Arabidopsis thaliana: one gene and its partner. The protein of the gene in region 1 interacts with the protein of each later gene in a pairwise test. Each region holds a gene or a part of one and is shown on either strand. Other genes may lie near its edges.

Region 1 (7,587 bases):
AAATTTACAGAACGGGTTTTATTTTGGAATTGGGTTATATGGTGGATGTATTTGAATCAATATTTATAAAATTTTAAAATATTATTAATATGCTGTTTAAGTAGGGATTAAAACTTCAGTTTTTTAACAATTATCTCATGAATTCGTGGTATAGTGTTATTTAATAACAATTATAAACTGTAAAATAAAAATATTTTATAAAAATAAAATTTGCAAGTTTTAATATATATTACTTTTAAAAAATAAATCGTCCCGCAGTATATCACATGTTAAAATCTAGTTTATATATCATTTTGATACTTTTTTAAAACAGAGACCGGTGCAGTTTAGTAGTTACGTGGATACCAAATATATCATACAAGTTAATATAGAAATTAAGAATCAGATACGACGTTCCAAACAAATACTTAAACGTGTGTAGACCTTAGGAAACATTGCCAACTGGCAACTTTGTATTATACTACCAAAATCTAGATATCTATAAATCTAGAGGTGTGTATGATAATGAATATTGAATAGTATATGTTTGATATTCAATGTTATACTATTCAGATATCAAATACCTGGATGTATATATGTCAACTGAAAACAAATATAATTCTCTTAGTATGAAGACTATTTACATCTAAATCATATGAATAACTAATTAACTTTTTCTTCTTTTTTTTGTTAATTTTCAAAAACTATGTCATTTGTTATGTATTACATAATCACTTAAGATATATATAAAAAAAAATGCCCTAACGAATTTCGTCCACAACATATGAATCGAGCTAGCTATTTAGATATTTCTATTATGCATATGATGAATCATAGATTGATAAACATATTATATATTTTTTGAAAAATGGTAGTTCAATTTCTTTTGACACTAATTAAACATGAAAGAGACATGTCCTTCGGGTGTAAGAATACCTAAACAGACAAAGCAGAGAGTCATAAATATCTTATGATTATAAATGGAAGAGACATATAAAAAATGTTTATTGTGTACTAATCCCTTATATAGTTTATGTTGGACAACTCCATATTAATTTAGGTTTACTTATATTTCGGTTATGAAACTCTAAAAAGTATTGTCTCCCACTATCCATTAGGACAAACTGGCAAAGGCAACCACCTCAACAACATCAAAGAACAAGAATTATTCAACTGTTCTACAAAACTATACTAGTACTATTACAGTTGTTTGTAGCATATACTTTTCCAAATAGAATTTTATACGATTTTCTTTTCCATATTTTTTGAAAATGACAAGTGATATGATTTGAGAAAAAACAAAAAAAAAAAACAAATTTATACAGTGAGGCCTGCAAGACCATAAAACAAACTAAAGCCGTTCATTAAGGTTCCATTAATTGGGCCTATATTTTTCTCGTTATATTATGAGCCTGTTATAGGCCCATTAGTAATAATTTATCGGGTTATGAAGTAAATTTTCAGATAATTAAGGGTCTCAAGTATAAATATCTTAAATAACAGACCCATCTACCTGGAAATATGAGTATTTGGGCAGAGAGGGGTGTTTTCGTAAATTCAAGTACATACTTTATTTTTATTTTTTTGCTTTCTTCGCCTTTTGCTCCCTCCTCGAGAATTTCCGATCGTGCTTTCCTCAAAAGCATTTCTGTTTCTCGTCGTCGGAGCCCGACGACAGATCTCTGAATCGCTGGAGAAACAGTAAGTAAATCTACAGATCTCGTTTCTTCGAACTTCTTCTTCGTATACTATTTGTTTGTATCGTTCCTTCGTTGTGCATTGATGTTCTTAATGATTACTAGAATCTAAGTCAGAAGTTACCTCTATTTGTTCTTCTTCTATATTTGAACTAGATTTCGTTCTAGCGTCGAACAAACTCCTCGTTTTCTTTGATTCGCATTGCTGGTGATTTTCCTGAATTTCGAGATTTAGCGAGACGTGTCTCGAGTTCTCTTGTGTTGACGGGATTTTTCTTATCTGGAGAACTGATAATAGTTTCATGACACTGTCACTGGTCTGTTGAATTGTAGTTTAAACTTATTCCATCGGATATAGTGACTCTTAACTCTATAAGTTGCTGATTTTGTAGATGGGTTTAGTGTTATCAGGTTTATTGATGTAACAACGAGTTTACAAACTTTGCTATTTAGGGATCTGTAGGAATTCGTTTTTTTGGGGGCTCAAATTGTTGGAAATAGTTGCTTAGCTATTCACAATCTAAATGTGATTTGGGAAATCTGCAACATATGTTATTACTATGGAAGAGGTTACTCTATATAGTTACTAAATTATCAGCATGGTTTCTGACCATTATAGAATTCTTTGCTTGTGGTTTATTTGTTTGAATCAAAGTGGTTTCATTCAGAGACAGCGTTGTAGATTTTGATTATCTCTGTAATGTATGATGTGAAAAGTTACGCCACTTTCTATCTTATTAGCTCTTGAAATGCATCTATTATCTGTTTTAAAATAAGATTTTTTAAATTTAATTTGTTTTTTTTTGCCAGTAATGATTGAGTTTGGCCTCTATCTGTGAAGGGTATATGCTCCGGCTGTATCTACTTTATATTCTGCCAGGAAGATTGTGAGCATTGAAGTGCCTTGGGCTCTGGCTGAAGATTTGAGCAGATTAAATGGGTCGCCTAAAGTTGCATTCTGGAATCAAGGCCATTGAGGAAGAACCTGAGGACTTTGAGTGTACTGATTCAAGTAATACAACCACTTTAGCATGCATGATTGATACGGAAATTGCTGCTGTTTTAGCGGTTATGAGAAGAAATGTAAGATGGGGAGGTCGATACATGTCTGGTGATGATCAACTAGAACACTCGTTGATTCAGTCACTTAAAGCTCTTAGAAAACAGGTGTTCTCATGGAACCAGCCGTGGCATACAATTAGTCCCATGTTGTATCTTCAGCCCTTTCTTGATGTGATACGGTCAGATGAAACTGGAGCACCAATAACCAGCATTGCTTTGTCATCAGTTTACAAGATCTTAAACCTGAATGTAATTGATCAAAATACTGCGAATATTGAAGACGCTATGCACTTGGTAGTTGATTCTGTGACAAGCTGTCGATTTGAGGTGACAGATCCTGCATCAGAAGAGGTTGTGCTAATGAAGATACTTCAGGTTCTTCTAGCATGTATGAAAAATAAAGCATCAGTTATGCTAAGCAATCAGCATGTATGCACTGTCGTCAACACTTGTTTTCGTGTTGTCCACCAAGCAGGAATGAAAGGTGAGTTATTGCAACGAGTAGCTCGCCACACGATGCATGAATTAGTGAGGTGTATCTTCTCGCATCTCCCAGATGTTGAAAGAACAGAAACTACACTTGTCAACAGAGCTGGTAGCATCAAACAAGAGGTATGGTATTGGGGTCCTTGTTATTTCCTTTCTAGTTGGTTACAAGTCAGTTTGGTCCTGTAGGATGTTCTGAGATTAAATAAAAACATGATACTACAGTAGCTAGGTTCCTTTACTTGCAACCTAGAAAATTGAAAAAGCAGAGAAACTATTTAAATAGAAATGATAAAGAGCCATAGATTTGGCGATTTGTTAAATATAGGTCTGCAACTTACTCTTGAACTTCAAAATTATGTAGACGCTTGTTTTCATTCAGATAGGAAAATATATTTTTCCTAGTGCGAGTCAAAGATCACTACTAGAGAATTTAGACCAGAAACTCTGTAGATAGTGAATAATTAATTTCATACGGAATAATTTTCCCAACAAATGCTGGATTTTAAGCCTTCTTCCCTTGATTCATATATCACTAATTATTGTACAATAATTAGTGATGGTGTTTTGCATGGTCGCAGAAAGCTGGAGTAGACAGTGATTATGCCATTGTGAGTAAACCAGTCGAGGATGGAAATGCTAATTCCGAGTATGATGTTGAAAATTCTATGGCAACTTTTGCAACTGGTGCTCAAAGTTTGATGGATGATGGACCAGTTGGCCCTGGAAGCAGAAAGCCGGCTTCTCCATATGATTTGCATATAATGACAGAGCCATACGGAGTCCCAAGTATGGTGGAAATTTTTCACTTCTTGTGCTCTTTGTTAAATGTGGTCGAACATGTTGGTATGGGATCCCGATCAAACACCATAGCATTTGACGAAGATGTGCCTCTGTTTGCGTTGAACTTGATCAACTCAGCCATTGAATTGGGTGGATCGTCCATCCGCCATCACCCAAGATTGTTAAGCCTAATTCAAGATGAGTTATTTCGTAACTTGATGCAGTTCGGATTGTCGATGAGCCCCCTGATTCTTTCGATGGTTTGCAGCATTGTGCTCAATTTGTATCAACATCTACGAACTGAACTCAAGTTGCAGCTTGAGGCATTCTTTTCATGTGTGATTCTAAGGCTTGCTCAAGGAAAATATGGGCCCTCGTATCAGCAGCAAGAGGTTGCTATGGAGGCTCTTGTGAATTTTTGTAGGCAGAAGAGTTTTATGGTTGAAATGTATGCCAATCTCGATTGTGATATAACTTGCAGCAACGTGTTTGAGGAGCTGTCTAATCTTCTCTCGAAGAGCACATTTCCTGTGAACTGTCCTTTGTCTGCAATGCACATTCTTGCTCTGGATGGCCTAATCGCTGTTATTCAGGGAATGGCCGAGAGGATAAGTAATGGATTGACTGGTTTGGATTTGGGTCCTGTCCATCTTGATGAGTACACGCCTTTCTGGATGGTTAAGTGTGACAACTATAGTGATCCAAATCACTGGGTTTCATTTGTCCGCAGGAGAAAATATATCAAGAGAAGGTTAATGATTGGAGCAGATCATTTTAACAGGGATCCAAAGAAGGGGTTAGAGTTTCTCCAAGGCACACATCTTTTGCCTGACAAACTCGATCCCCAAAGTGTTGCTTGCTTTTTTAGATATACTGCTGGGCTTGATAAGAACCTTGTTGGGGATTTTCTTGGAAATCATGACGAATTTTGTGTTCAAGTTCTCAATGAGTTTGCTGGGACTTTCGATTTCCAGTACATGAATCTGGATACTGCACTCCGACTCTTCTTGGAAACCTTCAGGTTGCCTGGAGAATCCCAGAAAATACAGAGAGTGCTTGAGGCGTTCTCTGAAAGATACTATATGCAATCTCCTGAGATTCTGGCCAACAAGGATGCTGCTCTTGTGTTATCATACTCTATTATCATGCTTAACACTGATCAGCACAACGTTCAAGTAAAGAAAAAGATGACAGAAGAGGATTTCATTCGCAATAATAGGCATATCAATGGAGGAAATGATCTACCTCGAGAATTCTTGTCTGAACTCTTTCACTCCATCTGCAACAATGAGATCAGGACTACTCCAGAACAAGGTGCAGGCTTTCCTGAAATGACTCCCAGCCGTTGGATTGATTTGATGCATAAATCAAAGAAAACTGCTCCATATATTCTGGCTGATTCAAGGGCTTATCTTGACCATGATATGTTTGCTATCATGTCTGGTCCAACCATTGCTGCCATATCAGTCGTTTTTGACCATGCAGAACATGAAGACGTTTACCAGACATGCATCGATGGATTCTTGGCTATAGCTAAAATTTCTGCCTGTCATCATCTTGAAGATGTGCTTGATGATCTGGTTGTCTCTCTCTGCAAATTCACAACTCTGTTGAATCCATCATCTGTTGATGAACCCGTTCTTGCATTTGGTGATGACGCAAAAGCAAGGATGGCTACTATCACAATTTTTACCATTGCAAACAAATATGGAGATTATATACGTACGGGTTGGAGGAACATATTGGACTGTATCTTACGGCTACATAAACTTGGACTTCTGCCAGCTCGTGTAGCCAGTGATGCAGCTGATGAATCAGAACATTCATCTGAGCAAGGGCAAGGAAAGCCCCTCGCGAATTCCCTATCTTCAGCTCATCTACAGTCAATGGGAACTCCGAGGAGATCTTCCGGATTGATGGGAAGATTTAGTCAGCTTCTTTCACTTGATACAGAAGAGCCAAGATCACAGCCTACTGAGCAACAGCTTGCAGCTCATCAACGAACACTTCAAACAATTCAGAAATGTCACATTGACAGCATATTTACCGAAAGCAAGTTTCTACAAGCTGAATCTTTGTTGCAGCTTGCGCGTGCTCTCATTTGGGCTGCAGGTAGGCCACAGAAAGGAACCAGTTCTCCAGAGGATGAGGATACTGCGGTTTTCTGTCTGGAATTGCTTATTGCAATCACTCTAAACAACAGAGACAGGATCGTTCTCCTATGGCAAGGCGTCTATGAACATATAGCTACAATTGCTCAGTCAACGGTGATGCCCTGCAACTTAGTGGATAAAGCTATTTTTGGTCTACTTCGGATCTGCCAGAGACTACTTCCTTATAAAGAAAGCCTAGCTGATGAGCTTTTGAGATCTCTTCAGCTTGTGCTGAAACTGGATGCACGTGTTGCAGATGCCTATTGTGAGCAAATTGCAATTGAAGTCAGCCGTCTTGTGAAAGCCAATGCTAATCACATCAGGTCTCAGGCGGGTTGGAGAACAATCACATCCTTACTCTCCATCACAGCGCGGCACCCAGAAGCTTCTGAATCAGGATTTGATGCCGTATCCTTTGTTATGTCTGAAGGAACTCACCTGTATCCAGCCAATTATGTACTCTGTGTTGATGCTGCAAGACAGTTTGCTGAATCCCGCGTGGGACAGTCCGAACGCTCTATCCGTGCCCTTGATCTAATGGGAGATTCATTAGAATTTTTGGCTAAATGGGCTCTCTCAGCTAAGGAAAACATGGGAGAAGAAGATTTCGGGAAGATGTCACAAGATATTGGGGAAATGTGGTTAAGGCTTGTTCAAGGACTAAGAAAAGTGTGTTTAGACCAGAGGGAGGATGTCCGAAACCACGCTTTACAGTCATTACAGAAGTGTTTAGGCGGAGTAGACGGAATCAACCTAGCTCATAGCATGTGGTCTCAATGCTTTGACAAAGTAATCTTCACGGTTTTGGATGACTTACTTGAGATAGCTGCTGGGTCACAGAAAGACTACCGAAACATGGAAGGCACATTGCTTCTCGCAATCAAACTTCTCTCCAAAGTGTTTCTTCAGCAACTCCAAGAGCTATCTCAGTTATCAACCTTCTGCAAGCTATGGCTCGGTGTTCTAACTCGAATGGAGAAATACATGAAAGTGAAAGTAAGAGGCAAAAAAAGCGACAAGCTACAAGAATCAGTACCAGAGCTTCTCAAAAACATATTGCTGGTGATGAAGACGAAAGGCGTGCTATTGCAAAGAAGTGCTCTTGGTGGAGATAGCTTATGGGAGCTAACATGGCTTCATGTGAATAACATTGCACCGTCTATGCGACTGGAGCTATTCCCTGATCAAGAATCCTCACAACTTGGTGATGATGAAACCGTATCGAATGGCTTATCTTCTCCTGAAAACACAACTGGTTCGTGACCTTACAAGTGAGATCATTAGGTGAGTTTCTTTCGAATATCCATATAAGTACTGTGAAAGTGAAAGCTTCTTATGTAACACCTCTCTACGTTTTTTTTTGTAATATATAAGTCTTTCTAATTCAGAGACTCGTATTAATTAAGCAAGTTTCTTAATTACGACTT
Region 2 (7,505 bases), on another chromosome or scaffold:
AAAAAAAAATCATTCCCAGATCCATCGATATGAAATTGTATAGAAAAAATGGTATTCGATCCAAGTTTATTGTCTTCTATTTTTCTTAGGTTAATTTCACTTTATTCCAGATTCATTGTTTGTTTTTTCTTTCTCGGAAGAGCACAATGTGAGTTTCACTGGCCTCTGTTATAAACATATATAGAAATCTGTAACAAAAATCATTACTAAAATTCTGTGACATGTGCAGCGATCAAAGAATCAATAGCGGAAAAAGAAACTACACTGCATTCATCTATGACTGAAAGCTTCTGATCAAGCCATGAAATTAAGGTATCCCAAACACGTATCTTCTCTATGTTTATCAATCTTGCTTTAAGTTCTAATTCTGCATATTTCAAAGGAACCATACAAGTGTTCCTAAAATCCATTTGAATATTCAAAAACTTCTCTCAAATATCATGTAGTTATAGAAGCTACTGTCTCTAAGCGCACGAGAGAAAGCTACACAACCCACGTCAGTTTCCATCTACACATATAAGGTAATAATAATATTTTCATGTATCTTTAATAATAGCTCTATGTTTTTTTCTGTATTTTTCATTATAAAACTCATAACTATGTTATCATTTAATATGGTACTAATTTAATGGGATTGATTTACTATTGCCTCAAACATGTAATAATTTAATGATTTTTTGTTTTTAACGTTTTTAGAAATTCATGAGCATTTTAAATTTGTGGTTAGGTCATAACAATTTGCTATTACAAAAAAAAGAAACACTCTAAATAATATAAAAAATAGTTTACCGTATAATACTAGTAGTAAATAAATAATTTGATTGTTATTCATAAATTTTGAATTCTAAAATCTCCTGAATCAACTCATGCAATTGTCTTAAGAATTACACGTGGATAAATCATGGGCTTATGAGTCAGGCCCATTTAACCGGGGTATTTTCGTAGTTAAGAGACTAGAATGGTGGGTATTTCAGGTAAAAGGTCTATGGGGCCAGATCTGCGCTTTGTCGCGATGTCATTATCGCCAAAGATATGCGATAGCGACTCTCGTACAAAGTCTCTCACTCACCTATATTTTTTGTTTTCTTATATTTCAACAAAAAAACGTTTTATTTTCCTTTTGGTGTAAGTAAAAAAACAAAACAAAACGTTTTATTTCTAAAGTTCAGAAAACTTATTTATACCAAGGAAAAAATAGATAATAAATTTTGAGAAGTTGGTGACTATATATTACTTCACTTATTCAAGAAATTTAAACATGGTAAATGTTACTTTAAATGTTAAATGATGTATAAGAAATGTAATGAAATTGAATAAATGTAGTTTTAAAGATGTTTTAATTAGTAAGACAAACCTAGTTAGTGTCACAATAATTATATTTTTTTTTTTGTCATCCAAAATTATTAAAGCTCAAGTAAACCAATCCTGAGGGATATTATTTACAAATGTGATATGATGCGGTTCGGTGCGGATCTTCCGCGCCAAATTATACGCTTTTATATTAGCATTATAAAAAATTATAGATAAAGAGAAGTTTGTGAATTCTTCATTGTCGCTTTGCAATTTCTCTAAATACACAGTAAATACCGACAATTCGGTTAGAGAAAATATATCTATTTCGTATAATAATGTTAACTTTGAGGAGATTTTGGGTAAAATAATAACTTTTGTTGGATGGATCATATCATGAGCCATTAAGAAAAAGTCCAAAACTTTTCTTCTTCAAAGTTGGACTCAAGTTAGAAAAAGAAAAAAGAGCTAGAGAGATATAAAAATGAAAAGAAAGTTCATGGCAAAAAACTGATATAGACAGAGACACAGAGAGAGAGAAACGTATCTGAAGAAAATCTAAAAAATTCGATTCAATTTTTTTCTTACTTTTAAAAGCAAAAAATCTCACTAAAACAAAAGAAGAAGAAAGAAGAAAGAAAATGGAATACCTACATTTGAAGTGATGAGAAGAGATTTTGTGTATAATAATAATGCAATGTTCAATCCTCTCACAACTCATTACAGGTAACTAAAATAATTTCTCCATGTGCTTGCTTATTAGTCGTTCTTCCTAATGTTATGTTTCTCTCTGTGTTCTTTCTTTCTTTGGTCAAAGCTTTAATTTTTTTTCTATTGTTGGATTTGAGACAGTGAACATAGCTATGTTCTTGTTCCAATAATAAACAATCACGCCTGTAAAGAGCTTATGATTGATTAGTGTGTTTTTTAGTATTAATTAATTTCTCTGACAATAATTACTTAGTTTTTAATTCTTCTCTGTAAGAAACCTTTGGAAACTGAGCAAAGTTGCTTCTTTTGAGAACCATGCGTTTCTTTCTCTCTTTTGTTCTTGAATTCGCAAAAACATGTCCTTTTTCGTCTACAGGTTTCTAGGGTTTGTTTCTGTACTATAAACTATGTTTATGGTAACATTCTTAATCATAACTACACTACCAATGCTTTTATGTTATATGTATGCAAAAAAGGCTCTAACTTTTGTTTTCTTTCACTATTGTTTCTTCTTTTGTTCTCTATTGTTGTAGCTCAGATATGAACTGGGCACTCAACAATCATCAAGAAGAAGAAGAAGAGCCACGAAGAATTGAAATTTCTGATTCCGAGTCACTAGAAAACTTGAAAAGCAGCGATTTTTATCAACTGGGTGGTGGTGGTGCTCTGAATTCGTCAGAAAAGCCGAGAAAGATCGATTTTTGGCGTTCGGGGTTGATGGGTTTTGCGAAGATGCAGCAGCAGCAACAGCTTCAGCATTCAGTGGCGGTGAAGATGAACAATAATAATAATAACGATCTAATGGGTAATAAAAAAGGGTCAACTTTCATACAAGAACATCGAGCATTGTTACCAAAAGCTTTGATTCTGTGGATCATCATTGTTGGGTTTATAAGCAGTGGGATTTATCAGTGGATGGATGATGCTAATAAGATTAGAAGGGAAGAGGTTTTGGTCAGCATGTGTGATCAAAGAGCTAGAATGTTGCAGGATCAATTTAGTGTTAGTGTTAATCATGTTCATGCTTTGGCTATTCTCGTCTCCACTTTTCATTACCACAAGAACCCTTCTGCAATTGATCAGGTCAGTGTGTGCTTTATTAAAAGCTCAAAGCTTTGGTGAAATTTTTGATTCATAAATGCAAAGTTGACTTTTTTTGGAACCAGAAGTTTTTGAAATTTACTCTTTTATGTTTGGTTATTGAGTAAATGAAGGGAAATTTAGGCCTTTGCTTTACTCATTGGTTTGTGGCTAATTTTGCAGGAGACATTTGCGGAGTACACGGCAAGAACAGCATTTGAGAGACCGTTGCTAAGTGGAGTGGCTTATGCTGAAAAAGTTGTGAATTTTGAGAGGGAGATGTTTGAGCGGCAGCACAATTGGGTTATAAAGACAATGGATAGAGGAGAGCCTTCACCGGTTAGGGATGAGTATGCTCCTGTTATATTCTCTCAAGATAGTGTCTCTTACCTTGAGTCACTCGATATGATGTCAGGCGAGGTAATATAAACATTATCAGACACTTATGGTTTTGTTTTTTCGGTTAAGTATCCGACCTGCACCTCTTCTGAATTTTGGCTATCTTTTCTGCAGGAGGATCGTGAGAATATTTTGCGAGCTAGAGAAACCGGAAAAGCTGTCTTGACTAGCCCTTTTAGGTTGTTGGAAACTCACCATCTCGGAGTTGTGTTGACATTCCCTGTCTACAAGTCTTCTCTTCCTGAAAATCCGACTGTCGAAGAGCGTATTGCAGCCACTGCAGGGTAAAGTTCCCATCTGATTACTGGAGCAAACTTTTGCTTGTGATCATGTAAAAAGAGATTTTCGAGATTTCATGATTGGTTTATGTGTGTGATCATGTAAAGGAAAGAGGTTTTTTGAGATTTCAAGATTGGTTTGTGTGTAAAGTAAAGATTGATGCTTGAATTTGAAATGCAGGTACCTTGGTGGTGCGTTTGATGTGGAGTCTCTAGTCGAGAATTTACTTGGTCAGCTTGCTGGTAACCAAGCAATAGTTGTGCATGTGTATGATATCACCAATGCATCAGATCCACTTGTCATGTATGGTAATCAAGATGAAGAAGCCGACAGATCTCTCTCTCATGAGAGCAAGCTCGATTTTGGAGACCCCTTCAGGAAACATAAGATGATATGCAGGTACCACACAGAAAATCTTAAAGCTAAAATACTCTCTGATATCTAAAAACTGATATCTTGTTTGAACAATTTCGAGTGCAGGTACCACCAAAAGGCACCAATACCGTTGAATGTGCTCACAACTGTGCCATTGTTCTTTGCGATTGGTTTCTTGGTGGGTTATATACTGTATGGTGCAGCTATGCACATAGTAAAAGTCGAAGATGATTTCCATGAAATGCAAGAGCTTAAAGTTCGAGCAGAAGCTGCTGATGTCGCTAAATCGCAGTTTCTTGCTACCGTGTCTCACGAGATCAGGACACCAATGAATGGCATTCTCGGTACTACATCTTCAAACAAATTCCAGTACTGTTGCCTTTCATCTTTGGTTTCTCAAACTGCCTCAAAGATTCTGTTTTAAAAATTTTCTGCAGGAATGCTTGCTATGCTCCTAGATACAGAACTAAGCTCGACACAGAGAGATTACGCTCAAACCGCTCAAGTATGTGGTAAAGCTTTGATTGCATTGATAAATGAGGTTCTTGATCGCGCCAAGATTGAAGCTGGAAAGCTGGAGTTGGAATCAGTACCATTTGATATCCGTTCAATATTGGATGATGTCCTTTCTCTATTCTCTGAGGAGTCAAGGAACAAAAGCATTGAGGTAAGTTTTCAATCCAAGGAATAAAGATACATCTATTTGGAGTTGTGGCTGCTAATTTCTTGATTTCAAATTTGGCAGCTCGCGGTTTTCGTTTCAGACAAAGTACCAGAGATAGTCAAAGGAGATTCAGGGAGATTTAGACAGATAATCATAAACCTTGTTGGAAATTCGGTTAAAGTTAGTCCCTATTTCAATCTCTGCCTTTGTTGGCAGCTTGTGTATATGATTTTTGTTTGATCAAGATGTTGTCTTTTTGACAGTTCACAGAGAAAGGACATATCTTTGTTAAAGTCCATCTTGCGGAACAATCAAAAGATGAATCTGAACCGAAAAATGCATTGAATGGTGGAGTGTCTGAAGAAATGATCGTTGTTTCCAAACAGTCAAGTTACAACACATTGAGCGGTTACGAAGCTGCTGATGGTCGGAATAGCTGGGATTCATTCAAGCATTTGGTCTCTGAGGAGCAGTCATTATCGGAGTTTGATATTTCTAGCAATGTTAGGCTTATGGTTTCAATCGAAGACACGGGTATTGGAATCCCTTTAGTTGCGCAAGGCCGTGTGTTTATGCCGTTTATGCAAGCAGATAGCTCGACTTCAAGAAACTATGGAGGTACTGGTATTGGTTTGAGTATAAGCAAGTGTCTTGTTGAACTTATGCGTGGTCAGATAAATTTCATAAGCCGGCCTCATATTGGAAGCACGTTCTGGTTCACGGCTGTTTTAGAGAAATGCGATAAATGCAGTGCGATTAACCATATGAAGAAACCTAATGTGGAACACTTGCCTTCTACTTTTAAAGGAATGAAAGCTATAGTTGTTGATGCTAAGCCTGTTAGAGCTGCTGTGACTAGATACCATATGAAAAGACTCGGAATCAATGTTGATGTCGTGACAAGTCTCAAAACCGCTGTTGTTGCAGCTGCTGCGTTTGAAAGAAACGGTTCTCCTCTCCCAACAAAACCGCAACTTGATATGATCTTAGTAGAGAAAGATTCATGGATTTCAACTGAAGATAATGACTCAGAGATTCGTTTATTGAATTCAAGAACCAACGGAAACGTTCATCACAAGTCTCCGAAACTAGCTCTATTCGCAACAAACATCACAAATTCGGAGTTCGACAGAGCTAAATCCGCAGGATTTGCAGATACGGTAATAATGAAACCGTTAAGAGCAAGCATGATTGGGGCGTGTCTGCAACAAGTTCTCGAGCTGAGAAAAACAAGACAACAACATCCAGAAGGATCATCACCCGCAACTCTCAAGAGCTTGCTTACAGGGAAGAAGATTCTTGTGGTTGATGATAATATAGTTAACAGGAGAGTAGCTGCAGGAGCTCTCAAGAAATTTGGAGCAGAAGTGGTTTGTGCAGAGAGTGGTCAAGTTGCTTTGGGTTTGCTTCAGATTCCACACACTTTCGATGCTTGCTTCATGGATATTCAAATGCCACAGATGGACGGGTAACTAAATCACAACTAATACTATTTTTGGATTATTCGGTTTTTGAATTGTTCGGTATGAAAAATTTCCCGCCAAATTATAACTGACTTGGTTTGGTTCGGATTCGGTTAAAATCTTTTATAAACTTCATTGATTCTCAGATTTGAAGCAACTCGTCAGATAAGAATGATGGAGAAGGAAACTAAAGAGAAGACAAATCTCGAATGGCATTTACCGATTCTAGCGATGACTGCGGATGTGATACACGCGACCTACGAGGAATGTCTGAAAAGTGGGATGGATGGTTACGTCTCCAAACCTTTTGAAGAAGAGAATCTCTATAAATCCGTTGCCAAATCATTCAAACCTAATCCTATCTCACCTTCGTCGTAATCCAATCTTCCGGCGAGTTTTTTTTCTCTCTCCGCAGCCGGAAGAGTGGACCGATTCTGCTGATTGATATGCATTTTGGTTTCTGTACATACAGTAGGTTCACAATCTAGAGATTTTGAAGGTTTTTTTTTCTTTCACCGAAGTAATGTAGCTTGCCATGACTAGTGTATGTTGTTAAACGACAACGTCTAAGACGACGGTTCAGTGTTGATCTTAGCGTAAGTATTAATCCCACGGGATCGTTTGTACTGTATCAGATTTGGTTAGTCGTTTAAACATTGTAATGTTCTAATAATAACTTTTCCATATATAACATCTTCTTATAACTTGAGACGAGACCATTTTGATTCATCTTTTGAGCTTGTTTAGCAACCAAATCGGTTAGCTAGTTGAACGAAGATCAGAGAAAGAGCTCAAACAACTCTTCATTAGCTATAGCTCAGTCGACGACTTGAGCTTTCAAACAACAGAAACAGAGCAAAGCTTAAAAACGACTGCGTTTTACTATTGGTTCGTCGATCTCACTAAACCGAGTGAGATAACCAAAGCCAATCAACAACCCTTTAATCGGATCTCTCGATGTAATCTATAAAGGATGAGAAGAATTAGGAACTTGTCCAAGAAGAGTATATAGAAAATATCTGACTTTTTGTTTGTTTTTTATATACTCTATCGACTTATTTTATCAGTTTCAGTAGGAACGCAACGAAATACTACAGAATGAATTTCTCCCGATTTAGGTAGAATTGGATCACCACACTGTTAGGTTCTAATTTGAAATGCCTTCCGACTAATACCAAGGATAATCATACCGTCTGCATTTCTAACTACCAAATAAATTAATTGGACCAAATCACAACTGAGAG

Evidence for each region. The genes of interacting proteins can lie anywhere in the genome.
Region 2: the proteins of GN (region 1) and WOL interact in a two-hybrid assay, tested with the Arabidopsis thaliana proteins (one large-scale study listed by BioGRID).

The regions. Positions count from the first base shown.
Region 1 is NC_003070.9:4,786,975-4,794,561, forward strand, and holds the start of GN (sec7 domain-containing protein), read left to right. Parts: upstream 1-1,575; 5' UTR 1,576-1,680; intron 1,681-2,486; 5' UTR 2,487-2,612; coding exon 2,613-3,350; intron 3,351-3,805; coding exon 3,806-7,423; 3' UTR 7,424-7,587. UniProt on the Arabidopsis thaliana protein: Activates the ARF proteins by exchanging bound GDP for free GTP. Plays a role in vesicular protein sorting. Acts as the major regulator of endosomal vesicle trafficking but is also involved in the endocytosis process.
Region 2 is NC_003071.7:362,466-369,970, reverse strand, and holds WOL (CHASE domain containing histidine kinase protein), read left to right. Parts: upstream 1-1,613; 5' UTR 1,614-1,954; coding exon 1,955-2,016; exon of another isoform or gene 2,017-2,534; coding exon 2,535-3,084; intron 3,085-3,264; coding exon 3,265-3,501; intron 3,502-3,594; coding exon 3,595-3,764; intron 3,765-3,939; coding exon 3,940-4,158; intron 4,159-4,239; coding exon 4,240-4,478; intron 4,479-4,571; coding exon 4,572-4,801; intron 4,802-4,879; coding exon 4,880-4,978; intron 4,979-5,061; coding exon 5,062-6,266; intron 6,267-6,407; coding exon 6,408-6,639; 3' UTR 6,640-6,988; downstream 6,989-7,505. UniProt on the Arabidopsis thaliana protein: Cytokinins (CK) receptor related to bacterial two-component regulators. Also binds the synthetic urea-type cytokinin thidiazuron, a potent defoliant and herbicide. Functions as a histidine kinase and transmits the stress signal to a downstream MAPK cascade.